5 linked regions of the Sus scrofa genome follow. The protein of the gene in region 5 purifies or fractionates together with the protein of the main gene of each other region. This does not show direct contact. Links are inferred from orthologs where the notes say so. Each region holds a gene or a part of one and is shown on either strand. Other genes may lie near its edges.

Region 1 (6,606 bases), on a different chromosome or scaffold from region 5:
ACAATGTTGTTGGCATGGCAGAAGGCAACGCCTTTGAGCAGCATCTGCAAATAGCTCTTGACCTGTGCCTGGGCCAGCGGCCTCTGGGCGTGGCGCAGCACCTCAGCCAGATCTGACAGCATGTACTCAAAGGCCAGCACAAAGCCTGCACCGTGCGGGAACACAGCCTTCAATTGCACAACCTGTGGGGGAGGGGGGAGAAGCATCCCATCAGCCCCCAGACTCACGTGGCTCACACCCTCTGTGGAACTCTCGGCTCTTGCCCCAACAGAAGACCAGGCAGAGAAGGTGACAGGAGATCTGAGCTTAGAATCAGGGAGCTGGGTGCTCTCATGTGCTCCCCTCTCCCAACAGAAGGCAAGAACCTACTCTAATGCTCCAGTAAAGGCGCAGGAGAAAGGAGGTCTAAGAAAATCCACTTAGGGCAGTGTCTGGTCCCCCACCCAGCCTACGAACTGGAAAATCACCTGGAAACACACACACACACACACACACACACACACACACAGGTCTCCTCCTCTTTCTTCTACAGCCATTAACTCCCAGAACCAAGAGAAGGCACTGGTGGTCACATCTCCCAGCGCTGGGACAGCAGGAGATATGTCACATATACTTCCTGAGGGCCCACAGGTCACAAGGGCCAGGCTGCACAGCAGTGAGCAGGAGCAAGAGCGAGGGGGTCCTGATGGGCTTTAAGGAGTTCGGGGGACAAATGACTGACAGGCATAAGAACAAATCTATTGGGTATCTTGATGAAGGTTCTGATGAAGACAGAAGAGATGGGCTGGGCTCACTTATGCAGGGATCTGGGAAGGAGTTCTGGGCAGGGGGACAGTGAGCACAAGGCTCCAAGGCGAGAACAGGAAGGAGGCTGCTCTGTACTCCTGGAGCCTAGACGTACTTGTCAGGCAAGAGAAACTTAAGTGTTGAATGAAGAGAAAAAGAGACTGGAAGAGTTTCTGCCCTGGCGCAAGGGAAAGGAATCCGACTAGGAACCATAGGTTGTGGGTTCGATCCCTGGCCTTGCTCAGTGGGTTAAGGATCCGGCACTGCCATGAGCTGTGATGTAGGTCGCAGATGATGCTCGGATCCCGCGTTGCTGTGGCTCTGGCATAGGCCAGCAGCTGTAGCTCCAATTCGACCCCTAGCCTGGGAACCTCCATATGCCCCAGGTGTGGCCCTAGAAAAGGCAAAAAGACAAAAAATAAAAATAAAAAAAATAAAAAATTAAAAATTAAAAAAATTAAAAAAAAAAAAGAGAGAGACTAGAGGTGGGTGACAGCGGACAGTGACAATTCTTTTGGAGTGAAAAGAAGCCACTGGGGCTTTTCAAGCCAGAGAGTGGATAACTTCAACTACACGTTTTGACTGTAGAGTGGGGTCAGGGAGGGGGTTTGGGGGGCAAAGTCATTCTGATGAGAGGTGAAGATGGCCTGGGCAAGGCTAGAATGATATCTGGAGTGTTTTAAAGATAGAACTTCAGGCCTGCTGATGCACAGGACACGGGACCCCATGGGCCCTCCACCTCTCCCACGCACAAGCTGCCGCCAAGTCCTTTTTCCTTCCTCAAAAAATGAGAAGGGGGGAGTTCCCATCATGGCTCAGTGGTTAACAAATCTGACTAGGAACCATGAGGTTGCAGGTTTGATCCCTGGCCTCACTCAGTGGGTTAAGGATCCGGTGTTGCCATGAGCTGTGGTGTAGCTCACAGAAGAGGCTTGGATCTGGCATTGCTGTGGCTGTGGTGTAGGCTGGCAGCTGTAGCTCTGATTAGACCCTTAGCCTGGGAACCTCCATATGCTGCGGGTGCAGCCCTAAAAAGCAGAAGGGAAAAAAAAAAAAAAAGAGAGAGAGAGAAGGGCCATATTACTGCTTTTCTGATTTTGAGAGTAGGAGACAATCACTTTACAGATTGAGACAAACACATAACATTCAGATAATACACAAACTCATAAGCAAAAAAAATCGCAAAAGAAAAATCCTATCACCTACTGTCAACCTCACAAGTATATTCCACCAGACTTAGCAACAGACATGGCACATACAGACATATATGCACAGGCGTATACAAAATACTTTCGCACAAAACCAGGATGACACATGCAGTTGTATAATATGGTTTTGGCACTGATATAGCACGAACATCTCCAGAGGATAAGAAGCAAGCCAGAGTATCACCCACTGTTGGGTGGGTGGACCTGCCCCTGGCATTCCCCAGGAAATTACACACATTCTCTACTCCGGACACAGTCAAGAGAGAAGTGCACAGAGAGAATGAGGCTGGGCGGGTGCGGTCTCTCCTCCTGTACCCACAGCCCCTCCAGGGCCCATCACAGCACAAACGAGGCCAGGAGGGTCTTGCAGCCTCTGTCCTGTCTCGAGAGCCAGGTCAGGGTCAGGGTCAGTGTTCGTCACCAGTGCCCAGCAGAGGGCAGAGCCTATGGGGGCCCCAAAGTTAAAATGTACTGATTCCCCAATCAGAGGAGAAAACTCAGAAGGACAATGTGGAGTTCCCATCATGGCTCAGTGGAAACGAATCTGACTAGGATCCATGAGGTTGCAGGTTAGATCCCTGGCCTCATTCAGTGGGTTAAGGATCCGGTGTTGCTGTGAGCTGTGGTGTAGATCACAGACAGGGCTCAGATCCCACGTTGCTGTTGCTGTGGCTGTGGTAGGCCGGCAGCTACAGCTCTGATTAGACCCCTAGCCTGAGAACCGCCATATGCTGTGGGCGTGGCCCGAAAAAGACCAAAAAAAAAGAATGACAATGTACATAAAGCTGTTAATCCAGCCTGGAGAACACAATGGGAGCTCAGTAGGTGGCAATTATCACTATCATTAAAAATCATTAAAAGTTTTGAGCAAAAAGGGATGTTAGTGAATAAATAAGTACACAAAGAAATAAGTGGGTGAACAGAGAGGGAGTGAGTGAGGAATGAAATAACTGGGAGGGAATAAGGGTGAACAAGTGGACAGGAAAGGGAGTAGTGAGGGGTGAGGAAGCAGATGACAGCAAGTCCCCAGGGTGGAAGTGAGTGGATAAGGGCAGGAACCCCAGCACAGGGCACCAGCCCTACTCACATACTGACTGTCCTCAATCTCCTGCAGGGCCTTGATCTCCCGCAGGGCCTGGTTGGGGATGCCATCCTCCAGCCGCCGTAGGGCCACCTTCTTGAGGGCCACGATCTCTCCAGTCTGTTTGGGACAGGACGCAGACACTGCTACCCCATCCCGGGCTGGGAAAAGGAATGGGATGCGAGGCTTGAGGCCCTCGTGAGAGTGGAACGCACCCCCTACCCCATTCTGGAGGGATATCAGGGCCAGGAGTCGCAGCGCTGGGAAAACAGCTCAGAGAAAACCACACCAGCTCACAGGGAACACTCGCCATCTAAAAGCACCGCTGACAGCTGGCCGCACCCCACCCCGCCAAGGGGGCAAGAGATAGGCGGACGCCACAAAAAGCTGAGGGGAGGCAGGAGCAATGGCCCATGCGTGGGTGGGAACATAGGGTAGATCTCAAAGGAACCGAAGGAAGGACTGGGTGCTCACCTCCACGTGCTTGGCCTTGAAGACGATGCCATGAGCGCCCTCCCCTATGCGGCCCAAGATGCAGTACTGCTCCATGGCCCTCTGCCTGGCACTATTACGCTCCAAAGTAACAACCTCTCCCGTGCACAAGCAACCGGACCCTTCCGCGGAAGCCTGCCCCGCCCTCTGCGCCCAGAGGCGGCTGCCTAGCAACGGCGCGGGCACGCGCTCCGGGACCGGGAGGCCAGCGCAGCCAGGGAAGGCGGCCCTGGGCTCGTCTGCGCCTTCCCCTAGGCGCTCGCCATCACGGCTCAGGGCGCTTCACTCAAGGGGAGTCAGTCACACGAGTGCAGACACGGCCAACCGCAGCAACGGTCACCGTCACCCCTTCTCAACCCTGCGCGGGCATCACATGACGAGTGACGCCAGAGCACGCACGGGGCGGGGCCCTGCAGCCCCGGGGCAAGGCTGGGCGCAGGTGGGGCGGGGCTGCGTAGGCGGGAGGGTGGAGCTGCTCAGCGGGCGGGGCGGGGAGCTGGCGCGGGGCTGAAGGTAACCGGGAGGGGCTGAAGGTGACGGGGGAGGGGCTGAAGGCGACGGGGGCGGGGCTGAAGGCGATGGGGTAGGGGGTGGGGGGGTGCCCGGCGGGGGGAGTGGGTGCCTGGCGGGGCCTGCCCCTCCCCCTCCCTGAGCAGGCTTAGAGGTGCCAGCCGCCACCTCTGAGAACATAGAGGTGTCATTTCCCACCTATGAGACACAGAGCCGATGGTGACTGAAGGGAGATGTCTCGGGTCTGTGTCCTGGCAGGAGGATCAACAGGCAATTTGTGGAGAAAGATTTTTAAAAATGCAAATTCTGACCCAGAAAGTCCATGTCTGAGGGCTTCTCCTGAGGAAACATTTGGAGGAATTTGCAGCTGAGTGATTTTTAGGAAGTATGTACCAAGGATGTTGACAAAATATACAAGTAGCTTTTAAACTTCTGAGAAAGTGCTCAGTCTCATACACAATAAGGTAAATGCAAAATAATCTACAATTTTCCACCTATCATTGGTTCAATATCTAACAATGCATTGGCCATGCTGTGGAAATATATATATAGGAGCGTTCATATATTGCTGATGGGAGTGTGATTTGGCAATGCTGATCAAATTATAAATGCATATCCCCTTAGACCAAGCAAGGTCACTTTGAGAAATTCCCCCACCTAACACATTGCACATGTATTAAATGACATAGCAGGAGTTCCTGTCGTGGCACAGTGGCTAACCAATCCGACTAGGAACCATGAGGTTGCAGGTTCGATCCCTGGCCTTGCTCAGTGGGTTGAGGATCCAGCATTGCCAGTGAGCTGTGGTGTAGGTCGCAGACGCGGCTTGGATCCCGAGTTGCTGTGACTCTGGTGTAGGCTGGTGGCTACCGTTCCGACTTGACCCCTAGCCTGGGAACCTCCATATGCTGTGGGAGTGACCCCAGAAAAGGACAAAAAAAAAAAATTGACATGGCAAAGTTATTCATTGAATCATAGTTTAAATAGCAAAAGATTGGAAGCACCATAGATGTCCATCCATAAGAGACTGTCTAAATTTTGATACACCTATCAAATAGAAAACCATACTACCTCAAAAAAGAACAGGCGTGCTTTTTTTTTTTTTTTTTGTAGGACTGCAGCCACGTCATGTGGAAGTTCCCTATGCCACAGTCACAGCAACACTGGACCCTTGACCCACTGAACCAGGCCAGGGATCAAACCTGAGTCCTCATGGGTACTAGTCGGGTTTGTTACTGCTGAGCAAGAACAGGAACTCCCCAAGGATGCTCTTTAATGTATAGTAATAGAAAGATGTCTAAGATATATTATTAAGTTAAAAAAGGTAAGATGAGGAGTTCTTTTGTGACACAGTGTGTTAGGATCAGGCGTTGTCACTGCAGTGGATTAGGTTGTTGCTGTGGCGTGGATTTGATCCCTGGCCAGGGAAGCTCCATATGCTGTACGCACAGCCAAAAAAAAAAAGGCAAGATGAAAAATAGAGCATAGAGTGCCACTAGCTGTGTAAAAAAAAAACAATATAAATAATACTTGTTTATGCATCATAATATGTCTGGAAAAAATACTCGAGATTTCATGATTGTGGTTACCTGGTGGAGGGGCTAGAAGGATTGGGGACAGAATAGGAGGCCAACTTTTCACTGGACCTCTTTGTAGTCTTTGAAATGTGAACTGTAAAATTTATTAATTCTTCTTTTTTTTTTTTTTTTAGGGCCTCACCTGCAGCATGTGGAAGTTCCCAGGCTAGGGGTCGAAATAAAGCTACAGCTGCTGGCCACAGCCACAGCAACAAGGGACTCAAGCCGCATCTGTGACCTATACCGAAGCTCATGGCAATGCTGGATCCTGGACCCACTGAGCAAGGCCAGGGATCAAACCTGCATCCTCATGGATACTAATCAGATTTGTTTCTGCTGCTCCACAATGAGAAATTTCCAAAAGAATTAACAGCAGGGTCTTGAAGAGATATTTGCACATCCACATTCATAATCGCACTGTTCACAACAGGCAGAATAAGGAAGCAACGCAAGTGTCCACAGACAGATAAATGACTAAAAAAATGCAGTATATCCATGCAGTGGAATATTACTCATTATGCTTGGTGGGTTGTTTTGGTCTTTGTTTTTTTGTTTGTTTGTCTTGTCTTTTTAGGCAAAAGACCTGTGGCATCTGGAAGTTCCCAGACTAGGCGTCGAATCAGAGCTGCACTGCTGGCCTATGCCACAGCTCCCAGCAATGCTGGTACTAACCCACTGATCAAGGCCAGGGATCAAACTTGAGTTCTCGTGGATACTTGTCAGGTTTGTTACCACTGAGCCACAAAGGGAACTCCCTATTCATTCTTAAAAAGGAAGAAAAGTCTGACACGTGCTACAGTATGAATGAACCTTTAGGATATTATGCTAACTGAAACAAGCCAGTCACAAAAAAAAAAAAAAAAAAAAAGCGTGTGATTTCACTTATATAAGGTGTGTAGAGAAGTCAAATTCATATTGAGAGAAGTTAACTGATGGTTGCTGGGGCTAAGGA
Region 2 (6,397 bases), on a different chromosome or scaffold from region 5:
GCTATATTCTTGTGATGTATAAAATAAAATCCCTGGATGCCTAAAACAGACTTTGAAAAAAGGTCCTATACTTACCTCAGGAATTACAGATGTTAAGGAGTAGACAGGTAAAGTAATGCAAGCCATGTGTGAGAGAGAAATGGCTTCAGGTCTTCGCTGCTTTTTTTTTTTTTTTTTTTTTTTTTTTGTCTTTTTAGGGCCTCACCGGCTGCATATGGAGGTTCCCAGGCTAGGGGTCTAATCGGAGCTGTAGCCGCTGGCCTATGCCACAGCAATGTCAGATCCAAGCCGTCTGCAATCTGCACCACAGCTCATGGCAACACTGGATCCTTAACCCACTGAATGAGGCCAGGGATCGAACCCACAAGCTCACGGTTCCTAGTCGGATTTGTTTCCGCTGTGCCACGATGGAAACTCCCTTCACTGCTACTTTCAAAGATAAGAGACAGTTTGGATCTTTTAAAGGAACTGTATAGTTTAAGGTAAAAATACAAAAGCAGCTATGGAAGCAGAAATAGTCTAGGGCAGCTGCACTATAGGGCAAAAACCCAGATAGGACTGTACTATGTACACAATGGTTTCTCCCCAAATGACTACATTTTCCTCCCACTTTATTACACTACCTGAAACTCCATCATTCGTGGACTCAATTGTCTTAACAACCATCTTCTTACAAAAATTCCAGTAACTTAGAGATATCAGTTTCCCTTATAAATCGGTTTAGTAAGATTCCTTTTCTTGCTAATATACCATGACAACATCAGGTGAACTGAATGAACCAATGTTCTGATTGAGGAGATGGGATGACAGATAATTCTGACATATGAAACATTTTGAGAAGCAACATATACCTAAGTGACTCAAGAACATTTGCTCTTGAAGGAGAGTTAGGTCAGTGAATAGGGAGAAAAATGAAAATATGAGCATATGCATCAAATGACAATTAGGATCTCATCAAACTCTGAGATTCTAAATACTATGAAAATACCAAGCACAAGCATTTCCTCCTCTTTCCTCTTTCATAAGGAGTTTCTTCCTCCTAAGGCAGAGATCTAAGGCTAGTGCAGCTAATATATGAATTTTACTATCTATACTTCTAAGACTACCAACTATTCAAACATTTTTAGGATTATAAATCTTATAAAACTATAAACTTGTTGTAATTTCAATGGGCCTGGATTTTCTTTTAGGTCGGCCACAAGTAAACCTCCAATGGTAAACATTAATATGCAAGTTAATCAGCAGGTATTTAATCTAATGAACTGTTGAAGAGTAAATTATATCATTACAATAGTCATTAGAGCACTGAGAGGAACCAGAATGACCCAACTTTAACTTGAAGAGAATTTTTTTTTTTTTTCGGTTTTTAGGGCCACACCTAAAGTTCCCAGCGCTTCCAAATCAGAGCTGCAGCTGCCAGCCTATGCCACAGCAACTCGGAATCTGAGCCTTGTCTGTGACCTACACCATGGCTCATGGCAAAGTCGGATCCATAACCCACTGAGCAAGGCCAGGGATCAAACCCACATCCTCATGGACACTAGTCAGATTCATAACCCACTGAGCCACAACAGGAACTCCCTGAAAAGCACTTTTTTTTTTTTAAATTGACAAAGATAAAGCAATACAGGCAAATGCGTATCCTTAAATGTTTACATTAAAAACTAAGAAAAGTTGCAAATTAATGACCTAAACATTCATCACAAAAGTTTAAAAAGTTTCTCAAGAAGAGAAGAAAGAAGAGTATAATTTTTTTAAAAAACCATAAAAATACATAATAGGAAAATCATAATAGAGAGGAAAATCAAAGCTAACAGCAAGTTCTTTGAAAAGACTAGTAAAATTGACAAACCTCTAGCAGAACAGATCAAAAACAAAAGAGGGGGCAAAACTGAAAAACAAGAATGAAGAAAGGGACAGCTATAGATACTAGAAATATTTTTAAAGTAATAGGATATTAATTTTAAAAAAACTTTATTTAAATAAATTTGAAAGACTATATTAAACAAATTCCCAGAATACGATCCTAGCAAAAAAACCAATAATTCACAAATATTTTAAATAAGTATTTGCATGTGAAATGAAATCCCAAATCTAATGCTTGACAGGGATTTGTGTGAGTAAATTGGTATCAAGTCAGTATACAAAATACTAATGACCAAACCTGAATTTGAGAAAGTTGCAGTTTTTCTATGTCCCACTGTTAAGAAATAAACCAAAAGCTAACCAATAAAAGCTGGTCTCTGGTACCTCCAAAATAAAAAAATGTAATTGTGTAATATCAGCTATTAGTAATGGACTTAATGAAGAAATAAACAAGAAAATCTGGAAAACACAAAAGAAACCATATGTATAACCAGGGACGCTAATTAAATTAGAAACTCTATATTAACAAGAATTCCTTCCACACTTTTTAAAACTCCCTGGAGAATCTGGTGAAAATTGGAAATCCTCCCCCCATAAAACTCCAAGTAAACACAAACTTTTGCAAAGACTATTAAAGGGCTCACGGACCCCCTGGTGCCCACATATGAAACCTGTAGGAGTTACAGATAAGTACTTCAGGGCACCCAAATGCCAGTAAAAATAACACACACAAAAAAGTTAAACGTCATCTTCTGAGAGTTCAAAATAAAAGGCAAACCATCAATTAAAAATATCCCTGCTACTGGAGTTTCCCTCTTGGAGCAGCAGAAATGAATCCAACTAGGAACCTTGAGGTTGGTTTCCTGTTCCATCCACGGCCTCACTGAGGGTAGACCCGCAGCAACAGCTCAGATTCAATCCCTAGCCTAGGAACTTCCATATGCCGCGAATGCGGCTCTGAAAAGACAAAAAAATCACTGCTGCTAATAATAAACTGAGGCACCTGGAGGCAAACTTTTCAATGGAGAGGCTTAATATAAATTATATATATGAATCAAATAAAAAAACAAAGGTATCTAAAGAAACATATGCTTTAAGATTTACCTCAAATGGTGCCTCTCATTAAACTTCCTATTTCTCCTGCTCCCAAACCCAGACCACTCTAAACTTCTATGGGCATTTATATTTCTGACATGTATCACAGACATTTGAGTAATACACCTTAATTAATCCCTTTGTAGAAATTTAGGCTAGTCTATGGGGAGTTAACAATCCCACTCCAGTATTCCTGCAGGGCTCAGAATGGATAACTGTTGCAGTCACTGAAATGTAAAATCAGCAAAAGAACAGGGATATTGGGAACTCAGGGTTTTTAGGTGTAGTGACAGAAAACCCTTGAGATAATAGAATTAATCTTAAATGAACGGGAATACTTTACAATTAATGTTCCTTTACAATTAACGGTGTCTGGGAGAAAAAAAAATAATTAGGATATGTTGGTTGCGTCAGTAAAAACAAAGAAGAGGCCGAAGCTTTGGAAAACAGAAAAAGAATAAAAAATAAATTCGGCATTTGGGGAAACAAACGAAAACATGAACCTTCAACTTGGGCGCTCTTTTGTCAGTAATCACATGAACCTTCATTAACTGCATTTGAACCTTTTCTGAATCAGCTGTTTCGTTTGCTTAAGACATCAAAACCAATTTTACTTGTGAAAATTTTCATCAGTTTCCTCCAGATGTAAGAGGATCTCCTCGGCGCACTCCAGGGACGGAGCTCCTGTGATTTTCTCCTTCACGCTGTGGAACAGCTGCCTCAGCATCGCCTGCAGCATCGCTTGGTCCTCACCGGAGAAATGAGCCATCCTCTGTCAATATCAACCACAGCTATGAGGGTCCGAGGACCTCTGTGCCCTGCGCATGCGCGCCCCCACCCAGCCCCCTGCTTGCGCTCAGCGCCGTTCCCCGGGAGACCGCGGGCTTGGGGGTGGGCCTGCGCTGCTGGAGCATCGTTGGGGAAAACAAGTTACCTTGCTTTGACGAAGCGAAAGTCCGCGAGGTCCCGCCTTTGGAAGTCGTTGTTGCCGGCCTGCTCTACCAACGGAGTTCAAGCTGCCCCTACTAACTGCAAAAAATATCCCAAAGGCTTTACGGGTGGACCTGACGGCGGACGTCAGCGCTACGGGTGACGTCAGTACGTTGACGTGACTTCCTAGGTGGGAGGGAGTGCCTCTCGACTACATTACGGGAGCTCCTAGAGAAAGTTTTAGGTACGCCTGCTGAAATGGTTTTAGGTAGGAGGGGAAAAGGGAGTTCAGAGAGAAAAGGGTTACGTCTGTTAACTCCTACCCTTTACCAAGCACCTTGCTAGGGAGTGTAAAGAGGACGACGCTCTCACAACCTAATAGACAAGAAGTCAGCGATTACAACACAGAGCAAGTAAATGTTATGCTAGAGAAATGCGCCAGGTAGGTGCTGTGGAAACCCGTAATTACCTTTTAACCCAATAGAAGACTCAAGGAAAGAGGTAAAGAGAAAACAAGCTAGACATGCAAAGGTTAGAAAGCTGAGAGAGTGAAGCATATTCCGTACTGGAATTTGTAAGAAGAAAAAAGAAGAGTCTAGTGAAGTAAATAGACCACATTGGAAAAGATCATATTTGGCACTTTTAAGTGATTAGCGATTTATCTCGAAAGTTGTAGGACATAATGGGATAGCAGAGTTACGCCATTAGATATCATATATAAAGATCACTCTGCCGGAAGTTGCAGTGGCGAATCATGGTCCCTTGTCCAGTTTCCATTCTAGCTAAATCCCCAGACCACGGTCATGTTCAACAACCTACAAGATCCTGGTGTCTATAGAACAGTCAATCCCAAAACAAATCAGTGGTTGAATGTCAATAAGTTCTCATGTATCCCGCTTTATATTTTACACTGCTGGTCCAATAACACCTGGATTCACTTTACATGTTAACCAGGATCAAAGCCTCCTTTGAAGTCTAAGCTATTACTTCCAGGAGCAAAAGTATGATACAGCTATGCCAGCTCTAGCAGCGTATTTCTTGATGAAATGTGTGCTTAATTTTGATTGTCTCACTACCACATTAAGAAAAAAACATACTTACAGAGTAGGCATACTTGTACTTTTTGTGGTCAAAGCTATAAAACCCAATATGTGTATGTGTATACATGTGACAACCACCAGCATGTGACAGCATGTGGCATGTGACCAGCTCATGGCAACTACATTTTCAGACAATATAACACATTAGTTATATTGGCAACTCAGACACCAGGATTAATATAGCTATTAGCAAAGCGATTTTTTTGAAAAGGTAAACTATTAATGGTAAAATTCAGAATGAAATAATATATACTCTTTATTTACATTGTTTTTGCATTCCTGTAAAATTCATTGTATTAAAACTGTGCCAAATATTATTTTTATATAAATGGAATTAGTTCCTAGACTCAGATACTTATCAACAGATTTTTCATCTGCATGAATGTCAAGGAGGACCATTGAAAGTCATGTAGGAACCAGAGCAACCTCTTTTATGTGGGAGAGTATCCTGTGTATTTCAAGAAGCTCAGCATCCCTAACTCACATTGCACATACCAGTAAATGCCATCAAATCGTGGTGATGACAAAATGATGTATTTCTAAAATGCTTTTAGGGGAGCAGTGGAGAGGATATTTGAACTGCACAAATTGAAAACCACTATTCTAAAGGATATCTCTTAGGAAGAAGGAAAAAACTTAAAAGAAAACCTGATAGTCAAGAAGGAAAGTTAGGCAAAAAGGGGGAGAAGGAATAATGTGTTTAAGTAAATCTCAATAAACACTATATGTATATAGAAGTAATTATATTCTAATTTATGAAGGTAAAAATGCATAGTACTTAAATTCTGTAAACAACCCTGGGTAAGCAGGAATTGTAATGATAAGTTGAAGTATTCTGTAATCCTTGAATTTTTCTAAAGGGTGTTTAAGATATTAAACTTTGTTGGGTAGGCATGGTGGAATTTCAGATGTAACCATTAAAAGATTAGAAATTAGAGAACTTAAATTCTAAAAATGGAGAGAAAAAGATATACGGAGAGAAAAACAAAAAGCCCCAGTTTGAAGAAAAGTCAAGTAAGGAGTTCCTGTCATGGCTCAGTGGTTAACAAATCTGACTAGGAACCATGAGGTTGGGAGTTCAATCCCTGGCATCGTTCAGTGGGTTAAGGATCAGGTGTTGCCGTGAGCTGTGGTGTAAGTTGCAGACTCGACTCGGATCTGGTTTTGCTGTGGCTCTGGCATAGGCCAGCAGCTGTAGCTCCAATTAGACCCCTAGCCTGGGAACCTCCATATGCCATGGGTGTGGCCCTGAAAAGACAAAAGACATAAAAAAAAATAGAATGGATAAGCAATGAGGTCTTACTGTACAGCACAGAGAACTATATCCATTCTCTTGGGATAGAACATCATGGAAGGTAGTATGAGAAAAAGAATGTATATATGTGTATGAATAGATCACTATGCTA
Region 3 (5,882 bases), on a different chromosome or scaffold from region 5:
ATATTTGCTATTAGAAATGACAAAGTTTTACTCTGAATGAAATTTGCAAATTCTTACAAAAATAACATTTTAAATATGTAAATTTTTGCAATGAGAAAATAGTTTTTCACAAGTCTATATATAGCAAGACATCAGCGTTCTTTCCAATTTTTTTCTTTCATTTACAAAAAGAAAAGCAAGTGAAGTGTGGATTCAATATTTTATATAAAAATAAAACAGAATTTTACTTCCAAGATTGAAGAACGCAGATGAACCCTATATATTTGAAGAGACATTAAAATCTTACATATAAATGATATTGCTAGTTTAAAAAAATGTAGGACACCTAAACACCTATTTCAGCAAAATAAGCCAGTATAAAAACTTAATGCCTTTCACTTCTAGATATTGGATCTTGTCTTCAAAATCTACTGTAGAATAGAGCAAAAACCAAAAAATACCCCAAACTCAATTAGCAGGGTCCTCCCGTTCAAACTGGAGAACAGGAGGGAGCAGGAAATGACAAAGCTGCAAAGCAAAATGCCATCTCTCTTGTGAGATCCCCAAATCTGTGAAGTTTCTGTTTTTTCTTCACTTTTCTACAAATCTGCATTTTGGGTGGGCTGGTGGAGAGGTGGTTATTTCTATTTCACTGAAGATGGTTGAAGGAGATAACCATTTCCACGGTCTTCTTTGTTTAAACTTAATTTGAAGATGGGATTTTAAAAAAAGGCACCTTTTGGAATAAGTATATTCAAGATGGTTGAGTAGAAGGTAACTTTAGTTTGTCTTCGTTTAGAAACATGGTGACTTGACTTAACTTGTACTTAGCTCCAGAAACTTGAGAAAGGTCTGGTTCTGGTTTGAATGAATTCACTCAATAATTTCATTGATGGCTAAATAACAATTCTTCATACAGTTTGCTTAGAAAAAATATGTCCAATTTGTACAGGATTTAGACTGATTCTCCTTCCGTTTCCTGGATTAGGAGTAGAAAGTGAATGCCAAAACAGTTTGCATGGTAGAAAAAATCTCTAGCGCTTCACCCCTACCATCGTCAGTTTTTCTACATTAGAGTTCTGCTATCTTCATAGCACAGCATTTGTTTCAACTTTCCCCAAAGGATTTCTTTTCTCCTTATCCCTCTAGACTTTGCTTTCCATTTCTAATTACAAACACGACATATAATTTTAAAAGAAAGAGAAGACACAATTGTTACACAGTGAGAGGGGGAAGAAAAGAACATCAGAAAGTAAAAAGCTGCAATATTGCAATATGTACTTATGGAGCAGAGAGTATGGATTCTACTCATTCACAAACCCAAACAACCCCAATTTTGTCCCTTTCTATTTTAAAGATGTGTTTCAAGGTTTGAATGGAGCCTCAAAATAGGATCCATTGAAATCCCTTTCAGTAACAAAAGAGGCACAACAATACAGCTATTAGAATGTTGAATAAAGCCCAGGGATTCAAAATACTGGCAGGGTATGCACAACTAATGAGCCATCAACTAGGAGATAGTAGGTTAGGTCCCCAAATAATGATTTTCATGGTGGGGTGGGGGGAGCAGGGGTTCAAGGGGATGGAAGATGGTTCCTTTGCTCTGAATAAACATCATATTCTCCTGTTTAAAATATACTATCTTTGAAGTATAGATAGAAGAAAATATATTTATGAGAGAACTGAACCTCCAGCAATCTGAAAGCTGTACAATCACTTAAAATGCAACAGAAAGGAATAATTCACACTGAATACATACAGACCTTGTAATTCTCATAAAACTGACACAGTCCCTTTTTTAGTGTAAATTTATAATGAAGTCAGTTGCTGAGGCTCTGTTTATTTTATTAAGAATATTAAAAACCCTTTACTAGAATACTCTGAAGCTGTGACTTATAGCTCATTAAAGATATATATCTGTTACATACAGCAAAGCATCTTTATTTTTATACTTTTAAGTATGGATTTTATAAGATTTAGGAAATAAAAAACATATATATTGTTCTCAGCTACTTAAAATATTTGTTATGATAATTTGCAAAAATCATAAAAAGGCAAAAATAAAGCTCTATAGTTCTCAGTACTATTTTCATCACATTTCGACTGGTTAAAACACCCATGTCTTTTCCAAACAAAGGAAACAAAAAAACTAAGAGTCTTCCTCACATTATTGGTTTCCCTGCAACAGAACTATACTATATTTTTATTCCCATACATGTATGGCTTCACAATTGAGAGTTTAAAAAAAGGCTAATAAGAGGCTAAATAGGAACATATATCTTTAATTGAGGGCTTCAAACATTCAAAATTTGGAAGTCCACCAAATGACTTTTAATTGGTCTCCAGAAGTGAAATGAAAAACTCAGCTTTAATTTCTTACTCTATTCATATAGAATAGTTATTTATAAAAACATTTCAACGTAATTTTACAAGTCAAGAGTTATGTACCTTTCCATTTACTATGTCACTTTACTCATCATCTTTAGTATGGTTATTTTCCAAAAGGAAGACAGTAATAGATACTAATTTTTAAAGCATCACATATAAGTCTTCCATTAATAATTTGGTCTGTTGGGAGTTCCCGCCATGGCTCAGTGGTTAACGAATCTGACTAGGAACAACGAAGTTGAGGGTTCGATCCCTGGCCTTGCAGTAGGTTAAGGATCTGGCGTTGCTGTGAGCTGTGGTGTAGGTTGCAGACTCGGCTCAGATCCTGCGTTGCTGTGGCTCTGGCGAAGGCCAGGCTACAGCTCCGATTTGACCCCCTAGCGTGGGAACCTACACATGCTTCAGGTGTGGCCCTAAAAAGACAAAAAACAAAACAAAACAAACAAAAAAAACAAACAAACATAGTTTGGTCTGTTTATTTCTATGTGATTTGAGAATCAGTTTTTGTTCTGTTGATGTTGAGGATACTGCATCACTCTGGATGGGTAGTTTTCAGTGAATAATGACCTCTTCTTTCCCTGGGGGATTTTATGACTATTTATTTTATATGTGTGTGTATGTGTATAGTCTATAATCAAGTACTTTTACACAAACAATACACTGAACTGCTATAGTTTAAAAAAGAGAGATTAGTTTATGATCTTATTTTTTTTTAGTACTAACCTAGTTCCCAATCTCCTGGTTCGTAGCCCCATAAAAATTGACCTTATTAGTTTTCCAAAAGAAGCAGCATTGACTGGGTCCAGTTTGTGTTCCTGACAGTGTCGTAGGTAGTGGTTGTATAGAGTGCTTCTGGGAAGGCTCACTCCTTCTGCTGTCTCGTAATTGTCCAACAGCCACTGGAGCTAATATAAATAAGACAGGGTAAACAGAGAAACCGTATAATTCACCAAAATGTCTATAAGACACTGCAACTACAATACACAGAAATACTTAGAAGATCTTCCTCAAGCCTTGTAATAGGTAAACTGTTGTAATTCAGAGGCTCGTGTAAACTGACTTTGAAAACCCAGAAGCCTAAGTAGCTGAACATCATCTATTGACCTCAGACCATGTCATTCCTTCAAACATTCAAGCACATATGGAGACATGCTAATTTTCCTTGTACTGATTGCTATTTTGGAGACAAATACCTCTTCAAGGAATTCATATAATCCCATTAACTGGTTATAAATGTAATTTATAATTGCTACAGAAAAAAACATGTTACTAAGCCTGGCAGCATGGCACATAATAGGTCTTCAGTGTTGGTTTGCTACAACATGAATAGCAGGCTATCTTGTTATAAGTCCTTATATTAAGGTTCTAGTCATTTTTATAGAATTCTAATTTACTTACACAAGATAATACAATAGTGGTATTATCTACTGGGACAAAATCTGAAAGAAGTAAGGAAAAGTTTTAATCTTTTCTTCCCTAGAAAGAAAGAAATTTGCTAGGCGCTGATTTAAAAAAAACTATGTGTAATGAAAAAGAATCATTTATTACAATCATTTGAGTTTTTCTACCTCCAAGCTATGTTTTTTCATAAATTTGGAAGGCACACTACAGTCGTAGTTGGTAAAGCAACGTTTTCTCAGTCTATAGTTCACATTTTAGAGTTTTATGTTATCCTGATTTTTTTTTTTTTTTAATGGCCACATGGCAGAATGTAGAAATTCCCAGGCAAGGGATTAAATACAAGCCGCAGCTGTGATCTATGCAGGCCACAGCTTTGATAATGTTGGATCTTTTAACCCACTGTGCTGGACCAGAGTTCAAACTTGCACCTATGCAGTGACCCGAGCTGCTGCAGTTTGATTCTTAACCCACTGTGCCACAATGGGTACTCCTTCTGTGTGTATTTTTTTAAAATAATCTTTAAGGTATAGAATGTACAAGAAATTTTTAGAAGTTCTAATCTAGGTATACATTACTGAGTTTCAATATTAGTAAAATCAAATTATCAATCTGCTCACTATTTAAAAAAGGAGAATGGAAATAGGTTTAAATGACTTTCTTAAGGGCAGACATATACTTTCTCAGTGCTTGATCTGGTTTCTAACACATTTTCCTGATTACATGCATACCAGTTATTATTCCTACAAAAGCCACATATATGTCACATTACCTGTCTCAACCAAATCCCCATGCCAGATAGAGGTATGATGAGAAGCTGATATTCCATATGTAATTTGAGTTAAAAATAAGTTATAGAAGCCAAAGAATTCCTTTATTGAGCATAAAGTATCAGCCAGGCATTATGCTGGGTACCAACAGACGTAATAATGAATGTAACTCACCCTGGCCCTCTAGGAATTTACACTCACATACCAAAAATGACACATGGACACTAGAGGAAATGAAAGCATTTTTCCATTCTGCTTACATATTTAAAAATTTGTGATCAAACTCAGAACCTATGCTTTCAGACTCTAAATAGGAAAATCCATTAAAAATATCCTCGTAATCATTTCCTTTAACCATGATGACTGAATTTTCTTTTTTTACTGTTTTTTAATTTTTATTTAATGATTTTTATTTTTTTCCATTATAGTTGGTTTACAGTGTTCTGTCAATTTTCTACTGACAGCAAGGTGACCCAGTCACACATACACATTCCTTTTTCTCACATTATCATGCTCCATCATAAGTGACTAGATATAGCTCCCTGAATTTTCTAGAACCATTTCAATTTCAAATACTCCTACATGATATTTATACAGTGGAACATGTGTCATTAAACCCATACTGATGTTTGCTTATAAAATGTGACCACCAAACCTACAAGACTGAGCAAAATACTTTTAAAAATAAAAATAAATTCATGTTCTGATCAGTAAGCCTTGAAGTTCTCCATGAACACATATGCACATGAATAACAGTTTTAAATATACCTATTGCCTCTGTAACATATACAACCTTCCCCTATACAATTTCTTAAAGATCACACAAAATAAACATTCATTTTTATAACGGTCAAAAAATTACAGATCAAAAAGAGGTTTTTTTTTGATATGAATCACCTGTAATCTTACTGAGAGTAAACAAGTTTTCCAAAGGCATTTATACATGATCTCTGAGTATTCTACAGGACACACAGAATAAGCTGATGCATAAATATTCATTTAGTGTAAAGAGAGGCTGTAAACTGATTGGGAAATCAGCTATCAAGACTCAAACTAGTATCCTGCCTCCAACGCTTGGGTTAGTGTGTCTCTTTAGTGTTCCTTTTTAAATTTAAAGGCTTTGTTGATTATGAATACAACTGACAGAGACAGCACATAAAACGTGACAAATCAAATCTGCCTCACATATTTCATCCACGTGCCTCAGTAAGATTACTGGAATCTGAAAGCATGGTTTCCTCACATGAATGGTGTTAGGGCAGCCCTAGTGTGTTGGCTCTTGTTTTGTGTACACATTTCTAGAGAGACTGTTCCTTTGGTATTTTAAATATATAAAGAATATAGAAA
Region 4 (5,882 bases), on a different chromosome or scaffold from region 5:
TTCAGTTTTGAAAAAGAGTTCTACATTAAGGTTTTAGGCACAAACAATAAAAATGAAAAATGTCCTTAGCAAACTAACAATGGGATTTTTTTGGGGGGAGGAGGGGTACACCCAGTGCATATGGAAGTTTCTAGGCCAGAGGTCAAACCCATGCCATATTTTCGATCTGTGCCACAGCTACAGTAATGCTGGATGCCCAACCTGCTGCGCCATAAGGGAATGTCCACAAATCTACAATCTGTATATGATATCTGACACTGCTAAATTGCCGGTTAATGATCATATAATAGCAACAAAACATCACCATGCCCTGTCACCATCTCCTATCCTATCTAATTCCTTAACAAAAAGTGTTGTCAATGCTGTACTAGCACTTAAAAAATACTTCAACAAAAATCAGACGTTAAATGAAAAGAATACCTAACTAGGCACCCAAGAACATTATTTTGAAATAGCGGCCTAAGAGAGCTCAAAAGGTCTTATCTCTAAAAACTGTGGAAAATGACCTGGTAGTATCTAAAACACAGTATGATCCATAAAGATGCCTAATTACCTGCTACATAACAGTTTTAGAATCAATATATTATCATCATTGTATTTCTTACTAAAGTTCTACCAGTTGGAGTTCCCATCATGGCACAGCGGAAACGAATCTGACTAGGAACCATGAGGTTGCAGGTTTGATCCCTGGCCTTGCTCAGTGGGTTAAAGATCTGGCGTTGCTGTGAGCTGTGGTGTAGGTTGCAAATGCGGCTTGGATCTGTGTTGCTGTGGCCCTGGCATAGGCTGGCAGCAACAGCTCCGAATGGACCCCTAAGTCTGGGAACCTCCATATGCCGCAGGTGCGGCCCTAAAAAGACAAGACAAAAAAAAAAAAAAGTTCTACCAGTTTAAAAAAAAAAATTAAGAGGAAGAAAATGGAAATCAAATGGTGAACTACTGCTTCTCAAAGGGTAGTCTACAGACAACCTACATTAAACTCACCTATGGTGTTTATTAAAAATGCATATCCTGGAGTTGCTGCTGTGGCACAGGGGGTTAAGGATCTGGTATTGTCTCTGCTGAGGCACGGGTTTGATCCCCGGCCCAGAAACTTCCATATGCCATGGGTGGGGCCCAAAAAAAAAAAAAAAAAAAAACGGGCATATCCTGAGCCCCATCCTTAAAAATTCTGATTTACTATATTCTGGGTGGTTTTTATGCATATTTACATTTGAGAGCTACTGGATTAGAACTTACTCCCCTCAGAGATCACATTAATTCCCTAAGGATTCCACTTTCTCTACATGTATGTAATGTTAGATTCATGAATTCAGAGAATCGATATTACATACTGATTTAAAAATATTATACTGAAATCTTTTTGTTTTCTTTTTTTGTTTCTTTTGGCTTTTTAGGGCTGAACTGGTGGCATATGGAGGTTCCCTAGGGGTCGAATCGGAGCTATAACCATTGTCCTACGCCGTGGACATAGCAACGCAGGATCCGAGCCCAGCCGCAGCTCACAGCAACACTGGGTCCTTAACCCATTGAGACCAGGGCTCGAACCCGAATCCTCACAGATACTAGTCGAATTTGTTAACCACTGAGCCACGATGGAAACTTCTGAAATCTTTTTAAAACCTATATTCTTCAATTCATACAGTTTGGTGATGAAAAAAATGCTGAAGCCTATTTGAAATTTAACTGACATGAGTCACTTTTTCTATTAAGAAGAAATGCTCTTACCATGCCATGATCAAATGTGAAGACACCAACATCACGTCCATGATGAATATGATTTCTTCTAATGATCGGGTTTCCATGATTTTTAACCCAAATCCCAGCTAAAGCATTATTGGAAATTTCATTATCCTCATATATTCCCTACAACAATCAACCACAAACAAACATTAGTAGTGCTAAAAAAAAAATTAGCAAAGAAAAAAGACAAAACTGAAAAATACCTGTGCATGATCTGTTATATAAAGTCCAACATTTTCACAGTCACTGATGTTACAGTGCTTGATAGTGGGACACGCTCCTTGACCACTAACACATACTGCAGAGCCAACTGTAAGACAAAGAATTAACTAGAAACCCACCAGGTGACAGTGACTCATTTTATAATAAAACGTAAGAGGAACACTAACCTGTACAAGTACTTCGGATGATACAGTGATCAATAATAGGGCTACAATTTACTGTAATCTCTAAGCAGTGGTGTGCATTGTGGTGTTGAGCAGATTTGTCATCAGGGTTAAACTGAAAAGTAGAAATTTTGTGTGAATTAAACAAGCAATGCCTTAATGATTTACATACATATACTTAAAAATTTTAATTTCTTACCCTTATTGTCATATATCCAACATAAGCATCCTCAGAACCTTCCATAAATACGAAGGTTGAATCTCTAGTGTTTTCAATTATAACTTTGTCTGCTACTTTTCCAGGTGCTGTGAAGAAAATATTTAAAAGCACATTACCTTTATGAGACAGATGAAATGGAAATTTAAAAATACTTCTTTAAAGAGCAGAAGTACTCTGCCATGAAACTAATAATTCAGTAGAAGTCTTTTTACTGTTTTTAAATTGAGGACTTTTTTTTGCAAAGAAAACTTTTTTTCCTTTTTCAGCCACACCTGTGACGTACAGAAGTTCCTGAGCCAAAGATCAAACCCATACCATGGCAGTGACTGGAGCCACAGCCATAAAAACATTGACTGGATCCTCCACCTGCAAGCTACCAGGGAACTCCTAATGAGGGAACTTTTAAAGAATCTTAGTATTGAGTAGATAGGATTAATATTCATTTTACCAGATAGATAACTATATTTCATTGGCCTTCATACAGGCAGTCATACTTAACATAGGTGTTTTTGAGTACCATTACATTCAAATGCATGAGTAATAATACTTCTAATAAAATGGTCTGTGTACTACTGTATCCTTAAAAAAATGCCAAAGATAGCATAAATCTTCAAATAACTTATCAGTGTTCAACAAACACTACATTTATACTCAGAAACCTGAACATAAAAACAGCTTTGAATCAATATACCAAGTATTTTAAAAGTACATTTGTTTCATTAAAAACACAGTAATAAAAATATCAGTATCTGTATTAATAAAAGACAAAATTATCCTCCCCAAAAAGACAAAATTAACAAATAAAATATTTTTCTCTCCTTAACGAACAACTAAAGCAGTTGGACAAAGGGAATAACAACATCAAGGAATATATACATCTAAAAAAAGAAATAGGTACAATTACAATTTCTGAACTTTGAAGTTTTCATTTCCATCATATAAAATAAATATGATATTTCCTATTTTTTTGCTACGATTAAGGTATTATCAACGTTCATCTGGATATTAAGTCACCTAAGCATTTAAAAAACCCATCATGTAAGTAAAATGTTAAAATCTTAATGACAATGCATTTCAAAATACCTGCACCAATCATGGTGATTGGAGATTCAATATATATCCATTCATCAGTATATATTCCAGAATGAACAAAGATAAGTCCATCAAAATGAGCTTCTTGTACGCCACCAAGGGCATCTTCAATTGTATCATAATACTTAAAAAAAAAAAAAAGTGTCAGTATAGAACTGTAAGGTCACCATTTTAAATCTCTGAAAAATACAAATCAAACATACCAACATATTTTCTCTTCCTTTATATCTTGCAGGGTTACTGTAGAAATGTTCAGCAAATCCTGGCTTTACATGTGCACCTTTATACTAAAACATCAAACACAAACAAAAACACTGACTACTAATATAAACACTATAGTCCAAGTTATTTTAGTACTGTATGGTCTTTTTTATTAATTATCAAAAACAATTATTGGTTCAATTAATTTTCTGTTGCATACTGCAATGTAAAATATGAAATAGCTTATGACTTGTAATATCCCATAGCAGGACAAAATTTGTCAACCTCAGCACTAGTGATATTTTGGGACAGATAATTCTTTGTTGGGGCTCTCTCGTGCACTGTAGTTAACAGAGGCATCCCTGGACTCTGTTAACTAGATAGCAGTAGCAGTCTCTTCTCCAGCTGTGACAACCCAAAGTGTCTCTGCACACTGCCAAACATCCCCGGTGGAGCAAAAGCACCCCCAAGTTGAGAACCATTCATAAAGGACCATATGAAAATTAAGTTGTGAAACTTTAAATAACTACTCAACACTAGTAATTTAAATATAAGTTCAAATTGATCCATGGAAAGTAATAACTACTCTTAGGCAACTGATCTTATTGCTACTGTTTAAATTATTAATAAATACTCAGTAGTGAAATGAATTGTTGAATCTTCTGTTTGTTGATAAACGTCCATTGGCTTGAAACCTATTCTTTTTGTTTTTTGTTTTTGGCTGTGCCTGCAACACGCACTAGTTCCTGGGCCAAGGATCAAACTCGAGCCACAGCAGCAATTATGACAGATTCCTAACTTGTTGAGCCACCAGGGAACTCTAAAACCTATTCTTGAGTTTATATTTTAAAGACAGAATTTTTTTTTTTAGGGCCGCACCCGCGACACATGGAGGTTCCCAGGCTAGGGGTCTAACTGGAGCTGTAGCCGCCAGCCTACGCTGGAGCCATAGCAACACCAGATCTGAGCCATGTCTGTTCCTAGTTGGATTCATTTCTGCTGCGCCAGGACGGGAATTCCTAAAAAAGGAATTTTTATTTAAAAATAACTAATACAGGGAGTTCCTACTGTAGCACAGTGGAAACAAACCTGACCAGCACCCATGAGAATGCAGTTTGATCCCTGGCCTCACTCAGTGGGTTGGGAATTCAGTGTTGCCGTGAGCTGTGGTGTAGGGTACAGATGTGGCTTAGATCACGTGCTGCTGTGGCTGTGGCATAGGTGGGCACAGCTCCTATTCAAAACCTAGCCTGGGAACCTCCATATGCTGTGGGTGTGGCCCTAAAAAGACAAAAAATAAAAATAAAAAAGGAATTTTTAGGAGTTCCTGCCGCAGCTCAGTAGAAACAAATCCGACTAGGAACCATGAGGTTGCGGGTTCGATCCATGGCCTTGCTCAGTGGGTTAAGGATTGGGCAATGCTGTGAGCTGTGGTGTGAGTCGCAGACACGGCTTGGATCTGGCATTGCTGTGGCCATGGTGTAGGCCGGCAGCTGTAGCTCCAATTAGACCCCTAGCCTGGGAACCTCTATATGCCGTGGGTGCGGCCCTAAAAAGCAAAAAAGAAAAAAAGGAGTTTTTATTTAAAAATATTGAATATAGGGAGTTCCCGTTGCGGCACAATGGAAGCAAATCTTAACTAGTATCCATGAGGATGCAGGTTCGATCGCTGGTGTTACTCAGTGGGTCAGGGATCTGGTGTTGCTGTAAGCTGTGGTGCAGGTTGCAGACATGGCTCGGATTCTGCATTGCTATGGCATAGGCCTGCAGTGACAGTTCCTATTTGAACCCTAGGTTGAGAACCTCCATATGCCGCCCTGAAAAGAAAAAAAAAAAATCTAATGTAAGTTAATGTTTTTGATTTATACTTCATACCAACTGCTGGAAACTCTCTTTCCAAGGATTTGGATGTTCATATTCTTCTGGATTAATCTGATAGAATTTGCCAGGTTCAGGATGCATCATAGGGCGGGTATATTCAAATACTTCCATGTATAATCGTTTCCTGAAGGGGGAAAGGAATTAAAGAATTTTTCATAAAATGTCCTTTAAACAACTATAAAAATTATTTGAAGACTCAAAACTTATAAGAATATAAAAGAGCAGAATTTTAAATATAAAAATATAATTTTTTCCTAAAACAACATAACTGTATATAAAAAAACAGTCCACCCAAAACAGTAAGAAGTGTGAATTCTTTAAAATTTGTTTAGTTCAGGGGGAATAAAAGCCATCTTTAT
Region 5 (6,448 bases):
CCCTCCGTGTGGCTTCTCTGCACCACCAGGCCGGCAGTGAGCCTTTCGCTGCCTTGTGGCTGCGGTTCACGTCCTGCCCTGAGGGGTGGCGAGGCCTGTTGTCCTGACAGACACTACATGAGCCAAGCTAAATCCAAGCTTCTGTCCTGAGTTCCCGTGTCCACCCTTTCTGAAATCCTGCAGCGGACTCTGCTGTTTCAGACCGCACTTTGTGTCTTTAGGTCTTTTTTTTTTTTTTTTTTTTTTTTGCTGCACCCATAGCACGCAGACGTTCCCGGCCCAAGGATCAAACCCATGCCACAGCAGTGACAATGCCGTGATCCTTGACCCACTAGGCCACCAGGGAACTCCTCGATGTCCTTTCCTTCCCAGATTGTTCCAGCCCCTTCCGTATTTAAGATTTGAGCAATAACCCTACTTCCTGATTTCCTTGAAGGCTGAGCCCCAGAAGCACCAGGGGACAGCGAGCTCCCTTAGCCTGGGTGGTGGCACACAGGCCTGCCGGGAGAGGAGGCAGGGCTCGCCGTGTGGTGTCACCTGAGATGAAGCAGATGCAGGTCAGCAGCAGCCACGGGGCCAGGAGCCCGAAGTCACTGCCTTCACCTCTTCTGGAGCGTCTGTCTGCTCCCACGAAGAGGCGCAGATTCCCCGAGGCCTCGGTTCCATAACCAAGACACACCGGGGTCAGAAGCGGCCTCTGGCTCCTCATCAGACGGCCCCTGCTCTCCCCTCCCCATCCCCACCTCTTCCCGTTTAGCTCCCTGGCAAGCAGAAAGGTCCCATCCAAAGGGGCTGGTCCTCAGCCTGATCAGGGAACAGGGCATCTGCCCCACCCACCATCTGGGGACAGTCATGTGTAGGCAGGTAACCCAGAGAGAACGCGACAGGGCCCGGCTTCTCATATGAGGGCACAGACTATGGGAGGCCTGGGGCTCCTGCCTGCCACGCTCAGGTCTGAGCTCACCTCCATGTGGGGTGGCGATCCCGGCCTCCTCGCAGAGCCCCTTTGCCTTCCCCTGCCAGCCCCTCCCACCGGAGGTCATGCCCTCACTGGGGCATCTCCTGGGCACAGACCCACACACTTTAGGCCAGCTCACCTGGGGAGGAGTTCGTGTCCTGCCCACCTCAGCATGCTGGTTGCTCCCTGCTCTAGGACCTGCACACCTAGTGTGTGTAAGTGTGTGTGGACTGGTGTGCCGTCTCCGTACCCCACACTCCCTGGAGTAGGCTCCTGGGCGCGCTAGAGTGGGGACGTCAAGGATGCAATATGTATGGATTGCTGCATGATTCTTAACAACGAATAAAGCTGTTTACAAGGGAAGGAGAGCTGTTAACTGTGCAGCTGGCTTGTGAAAGTTTCTGTCCAACTTCCTCCAGCACTTTTTAATGTTTTCACTCAGGAGAAGCTGGGGTGGGGGGGCGGCAAGGAGGAGGGAAAGACGTTTTGGGGTGGGAGTTGAGGTACCATTCCCTGGGCACAGCTCCTGCTCAGAGGGCGGATAAGGAGCCCCCACCCCGCCCCCACCCCGTCTTTAAACCCGAGAACTTCCAACACTGCAGCTTGTCAATAATTGAAGAGCAGGAAAGCTGGTGACTGGAGGGAGGCTTGGGGAAGGGGAAGGGGGGGGAGGGCCACAGTCCTCTGTTAGTCCCTGTCACATAAAGGCGGGTAAAATTAACGGGGCAAAGGATCTCGGTAGGAGAGTTAGGCAAGTTCATGACTTTTCTGAGTTTCACCCGCCACCTCTGATTCCTGGGCTATCTGGAAAGGAGGGGGAGCATTTCCGAAGAAGCCTCTGGAACGTCAGCTTCCAGGCATCTTGCTGAGAACAGGGCAGAGAGTGGGGGCTTACCGGGAAACACTGGATTACCCTACCCGCACTGGGGTGACTGCGACCGGTGCTGGGGTTCTGCAGACCTGAGCAGCAGGTGGCATCGGAGAGTCAGACCTGCCTGCGGGCACCAAGAAGACGCTCAGTGTCAGGAGTGAGTGACGGGCCGCAGAAACGCGAGGAAGTGCCACTCGCAGCCCAGAGGAGAGGAAAACCCCAAGCACATGGTTCCCGAGCCTGAGCCGGCTCCCAGCTTTTGCCCCAGAGCCCGGGGCTGCTTCCCAGGAGCCGTCGTCGACACCTCGGAGCTGCTCAGACCGTAAGGGGTGGGGTGGGGTGGGGCGGGAGCGCGGGGCCCGCGACGAACCGCACGCCGAAGGGCCCGGGGCCTCGGCGGAAGCGCCGAGCCACGCGCCTCTCCGAGCCCTGCGCGGGTCCTCGGGCGGGAACGCACGGAGCCGGGACGCGGTGGCGGGTAGGGGGCTGGGTGGCGCGGGAGAGGGCGGCAGAAGGAGGGAGTTCGAAGAGAATTACCGCCAGAGAGAGTGGCAGGAGCCCGCGGTTTCCTTGGAGACACGCTGACCAATGGCAGCAGCGGAAGCTGTTTATGGGGGCGGAGCGTCGCCATGGCAGCAGTAGAAGCCTTCTGAGCGACTACTTAATACCGGTCCCGGGGCCGCTGGCGTTCAGAGAGGCGCCGTCGGGCGTGGGGGGGACGACGAGGGTTGCTGGCAGGGTCCTCGAGCTGGGGGCAGAGAGCCGCGGGGAGTGGCAGGACCTTCTTCCAGAACCTTCCTTTGGCCCGAGCTGCGCTCTGAGCCAGGTAAGGGACGGGGAGGGCTGCGGGCCGCGGGAAGAGAGGGCGTTGGTACAGGCCCGCTCTCCCATCCGTCCCCGACGGAAGTGTTGGGTCTGGGTAATGACAGCAGTGGAGTTTAGGGGACACTCACTTCCTACCCCTCTGTAACTCTTGGTCCTTGTCTCTTCCTTCCCCTTGAGCCTAATATTCCTTTTCAAAGATCAGACGACCTCCCCCGCCCCCCGCCTGGTCTCATACCGCCCTCCTGGGCTCTCTCGCCCTATTTCCACTTGTTGTGGAGGGAGGGGGGTTTAATTTCGCGCTCTCGGGGATTAGGGAATAGCCTTGGATGCCCCTACACTCTTCCCTCGTTAGGCTAATGAAGACTCCTCTAAAACATCAAAGAGGGAAAGAGACAGGTGGACCCTGTGGAGGTCGGGCCCCTGGGCACTGCTTCTGTTTCCCAGACCAGCTGCGGGATCGATTTTGGAGGCGCCTCCCGCCTCGCACGCACTCTCCCCTCCGGGGTGGGGGAAGAGGGCTCAGTTCCCGTTTTGGTCCCCGCAGACACCACATTCGACTCGGAGGAGGCGACCCCCGGGGTCGTGGGATGGAAGCGCGCTTCCGGGAGCCTGTGTAACTGGAGCCGCGGGAGTCAGCGGGCCGGAGAGCGCCACCCTCGGCTCAGCTCGTGGATGTTGACCGCCCCCTCAGAGAGTCCCCGCAGATATGGCGGAGAGCTGGCTACGCCTCTCGGGAGCAGGGGCTGCGGAGGAAGCCGGGCCGGAGGGCGGCCTAGAGGAGCCCGATGCCCTGGATGACAGCCTGACCAGCCTGCAGTGGCTGCAGGAATTCTCCATTCTCAACGCCAAGGCCCCCGCCCTGCCCTCTGGGGGCACCGACCCCCACGGCTACCACCAGGTGCCAGGCTCGGCCGCGCCGGGGTCTCCCCTGGCAGCCGACCCCGCCTGCCTGGGGCAGCCACACACGCCAGGCAAGCCCACGTCGTCGTGCACGTCCCGGAGCGCGCCCCCGGGGCTGCAGGCCCCGCCTCCCGACGACGTGGACTACGCCACCAACCCGCATGTGAAGCCGCCCTACTCCTATGCCACGCTCATCTGCATGGCCATGCAGGCCAGCAAGGCCACCAAGATCACCCTGTCGGCCATCTACAAGTGGATCACGGACAACTTCTGCTACTTCCGCCACGCTGATCCCACCTGGCAGGTAGGGGAGGCCCTCCCTCCCCCCCCCCCCCCCCCCCGTGCTCGTGCTCGCGCTTGCAAGGGCTGAACTCACATCCCAGATCCGCAGGCCAAGTAGGCGGGGTGCAGCCAGGGCCCGGAGGGAGAAAGGCCGTCGAGGAAAGACCTCCAGGGAGCCCAGTGCTTGGAACTGCCCCCTCTTTGACTTCAGAGAAGGAGGAGGGAGGGTGTTCCGAGGGCTTTAGGGGTGCCTGCCCTTGAGGTTCACGTGGAAGAACTTGTCACTCAACCAGCAGGCCCAGCCCAAAGACCAGGGATGAACTGTGGGTGGACAGGGGAGGCTGAGGGACTAAGGGGCACATTTTTGTCCCACGTCCTAGAATTCCTAGACACTACCCTGCCCAAGGCCAGTTTGTCAGAGGCCGACTGGGAGCGGAAGTCGGAGCATCATGCCTGCCAGGCGCTGCATCCTGCCTGGTTTCAGTTGGCTGGAGGGGACAGGAGGGGAGAGGGGTGTGCCGTGGGGTGTGAAGGCCAGCCGCGTCCCAGTGGAAGGGCGATGGGGCTTTCCTAAAGCCGCTGTCCCAGTCTCCCACCTAAACCCTCCCTGGTTTCCTGCCTCCACACCTCCCCCTCCTCTCATCAAACTCCCTGGGGGGACAATTACCTGAGCCAGGTGCTTTCCACAGGGGCTCTGCCTCCCGCACTGGCTTCATGTTCCAAGTCTCCGGAACCTGGCACAGAGCAGCCAAGGGGCCCAGGCCGCCATGTAAACATCCCAGCCTTGCCAGGGGCCGCCACCCACCTGCCGGCCCCGCTGACCAGGCCCCAGACCCCTGTGCCCCAGCATGGTTTGGACTGTGCCCCCAGGCGTGAGCAAGGCAGGATGGTGATTTGAGGCTGGGCACACGTTGCCCTGAGCCTCTTTGATCATCAGGATCGGGGCCCAGTCGGGGCGGGGGGGACCAGGACCCTGAAGAAGCATCGGCGACAGCATCATGGTTCCAAACGATTTCATGTTCGCTTGGGCCCTGACCCTGGGGCAGTACCATTTGTAACCTTGGTGAGAAAGTAGAGACACCCCCCCCTTCCCTCCCCCAAGCCTGAGAGGCCCCAGGAATGAGTGCTATGCTCTTGGCTGGGTAATAATCAACGGAGGCCTCTCCTAGCTGGGGGTGGGAGGAGGAGGACGTGGGGGGGGGTGAGGGCCCAGGCCAGCAGCCGGCTCTACAAACAAGGAAAGTCATCAGATCCCCCCCACACACACCCACTCACAGAGAAGGCCAGCCAGGCCCAGGCAGAGGGAGATGGCCGTCCAGGCCCTGGGGGAGCCGAGGCCTTTGGCCAGAGGCCTCGAGCGGCAGGGAAAGAGAGGGGAAGGCAGGACAGGGTGGCACGGAGAGCCACCCTGCGGCTCGGGGCTCGGATGACTGAGCAGGCGGATACCCTGGCAACAGGGAACAAAAGCCCCCGTGGCTGGTGTCCCAGAGCCTCCTGGTCCGAGCAGCGCCTCTGTCCCCCCTCTCCCATCAGCGAGAAGCTGGTGGGGGCCTGGCAGTAACACCAGGGCCCGCATCGCTGTCCCTGCGCACTCACCCTGCTGCCCTCATTCTCTCCTCGCTCCCTGTGCAGAATTCCATCCGCCACAACCTGTCTCTGAACAAGTGCTTCATCAAGGTGCCGCGGGAGAAGGATGAGCCGGGCAAGGGGGGCTTCTGGCGCATCGACCCCCAGTACGCCGAGCGCCTGCTGAGCGGGGCCTTCAAGAAGCGGCGGCTACCGCCAGTCCACATCCACCCGGCCTTTGCCCGCCAGGCCGCGCAGGAGCCTCGCGCCGCGCAGTGGGCCGGGCCGCTGACCGTGAACACCGAGGCCCAGCAGCTGCTGCGGGAGTTCGAGGAGGCCACCGGGGAGGCCGGCTGGGGTGCGGGCGAGGGCAGGCTGGGGCATAAGCGCAAACAGACGCTGCCCAAGCGGGTGGCCAAGGTCCCGCGGCCTTCCAGCACCCTGCTGCTGACCCAGGAGGAGCAGGGCGAGCTGGAACCCCTCAAAGGCAACTTCGACTGGGAGGCCATCTTCGACGCTGGTGCTCTGGGCGGGGAGCTGGGCACCCTGGAGGCCCTGGAGCTGAGCCCGCCGATGAGCCCCGCCTCGCACGGCGACGTGGACCTCACCGTCCACGGCCGCCACATCGACTGCCCGGCTCCCTGGGGGCCTCCGGCAGAGCAGGCTGCCGACAGCCTGGACTTCGACGAGACCTTCCTGGCCACGTCCTTCCTGCAGCACCCCTGGGACGAGAGCGGCAGTGGCTGCCTGCCCCCGGAGCCCCTCTTTGAGGCCGGGGATGCCACCCTGGCCGCCGACCTGCATGAGTGGGCCAGCGTGGGTGCCTTCTTGTAAGCAGGCAGGCCCGCCCCCACCTCCGGACAGTGCCCGAGTCAGGGCCCCCGACTGCCCCCCAAAGCTGGCCCACAGACACCCTACCGACCGCCCAGGCAGGGGCTGGGCCGGATCTTCTGAGGCTGACCCCACGAGGCCACACGGCCCCCAGCCCAGGCCGGCCTCAGATTCCAGCGCAGACGGCTGAGAACCGGGGTCCAGGACCAGAATTG

Evidence for each region.
Region 1: the proteins of FOXJ1 (region 5) and CDK20 purify together in Homo sapiens (affinity purification with mass spectrometry; 3 studies listed by BioGRID and IntAct, counting the BioPlex papers as one, with this or other methods). This does not show direct contact. The link is inferred for Sus scrofa from reciprocal best matches to the Homo sapiens genes FOXJ1 and CDK20.
Region 2: the proteins of FOXJ1 (region 5) and TBC1D32 purify together in Homo sapiens (affinity purification with mass spectrometry; 3 studies listed by BioGRID and IntAct, counting the BioPlex papers as one, with this or other methods). This does not show direct contact. The link is inferred for Sus scrofa from reciprocal best matches to the Homo sapiens genes FOXJ1 and TBC1D32.
Region 3: the proteins of FOXJ1 (region 5) and RFX3 purify together in Homo sapiens (affinity purification with mass spectrometry; 3 studies listed by BioGRID and IntAct, counting the BioPlex papers as one, with this or other methods). This does not show direct contact. The link is inferred for Sus scrofa from reciprocal best matches to the Homo sapiens genes FOXJ1 and RFX3.
Region 4: the proteins of FOXJ1 (region 5) and FBXO11 purify together in Homo sapiens (affinity purification with mass spectrometry; 3 studies listed by BioGRID and IntAct, counting the BioPlex papers as one, with this or other methods). This does not show direct contact. The link is inferred for Sus scrofa from reciprocal best matches to the Homo sapiens genes FOXJ1 and FBXO11.

The regions. Positions count from the first base shown.
Region 1 is NC_010456.5:20,150-26,755, forward strand, and holds the start of CDK20 (cyclin-dependent kinase 20), read right to left. Parts: upstream 3,954-6,606; 5' UTR 3,625-3,953; coding exon of another isoform or gene 3,582-3,624; coding exon 3,550-3,581; intron 3,237-3,549; exon of another isoform or gene 3,196-3,236; coding exon 3,090-3,195; coding exon of another isoform or gene 3,082-3,089; intron 183-3,081; coding exon 1-182. UniProt on the Homo sapiens protein: Required for high-level Shh responses in the developing neural tube.
Region 2 is NC_010443.5:41,055,441-41,061,837, reverse strand, and holds the start of TBC1D32 (protein broad-minded), read right to left. Parts: upstream 4,047-6,397; 5' UTR 3,896-4,046; intron 3,734-3,895; 5' UTR 3,731-3,733; coding exon 3,576-3,730; intron 1-3,575.
Region 3 is NC_010443.5:218,566,458-218,572,339, reverse strand, and holds part of RFX3 (transcription factor RFX3), read right to left. Parts: intron 3,273-5,882; coding exon 3,091-3,272; intron 1-3,090. UniProt on the Homo sapiens protein: Transcription factor required for ciliogenesis and islet cell differentiation during endocrine pancreas development. Essential for the differentiation of nodal monocilia and left-right asymmetry specification during embryogenesis.
Region 4 is NC_010445.4:92,764,218-92,770,099, reverse strand, and holds part of FBXO11 (F-box only protein 11), read right to left. Parts: intron 5,648-5,882; coding exon 5,518-5,647; intron 3,729-5,517; coding exon 3,645-3,728; intron 3,566-3,644; coding exon 3,433-3,565; intron 2,436-3,432; coding exon 2,329-2,435; intron 2,245-2,328; coding exon 2,133-2,244; intron 2,054-2,132; coding exon 1,947-2,053; intron 1,867-1,946; coding exon 1,729-1,866; intron 1-1,728. UniProt on the Homo sapiens protein: Substrate recognition component of a SCF (SKP1-CUL1-F-box protein) E3 ubiquitin-protein ligase complex which mediates the ubiquitination and subsequent proteasomal degradation of target proteins, such as DTL/CDT2, BCL6, SNAI1 and PRDM1/BLIMP1.
Region 5 is NC_010454.4:5,304,857-5,311,304, forward strand, and holds the start of FOXJ1 (forkhead box protein J1), read left to right. Parts: upstream 1-2,513; 5' UTR 2,514-2,655; intron 2,656-3,198; 5' UTR 3,199-3,360; coding exon 3,361-3,858; intron 3,859-5,468; coding exon 5,469-6,236; 3' UTR 6,237-6,448. UniProt on the Homo sapiens protein: Transcription factor specifically required for the formation of motile cilia. Acts by activating transcription of genes that mediate assembly of motile cilia, such as CFAP157.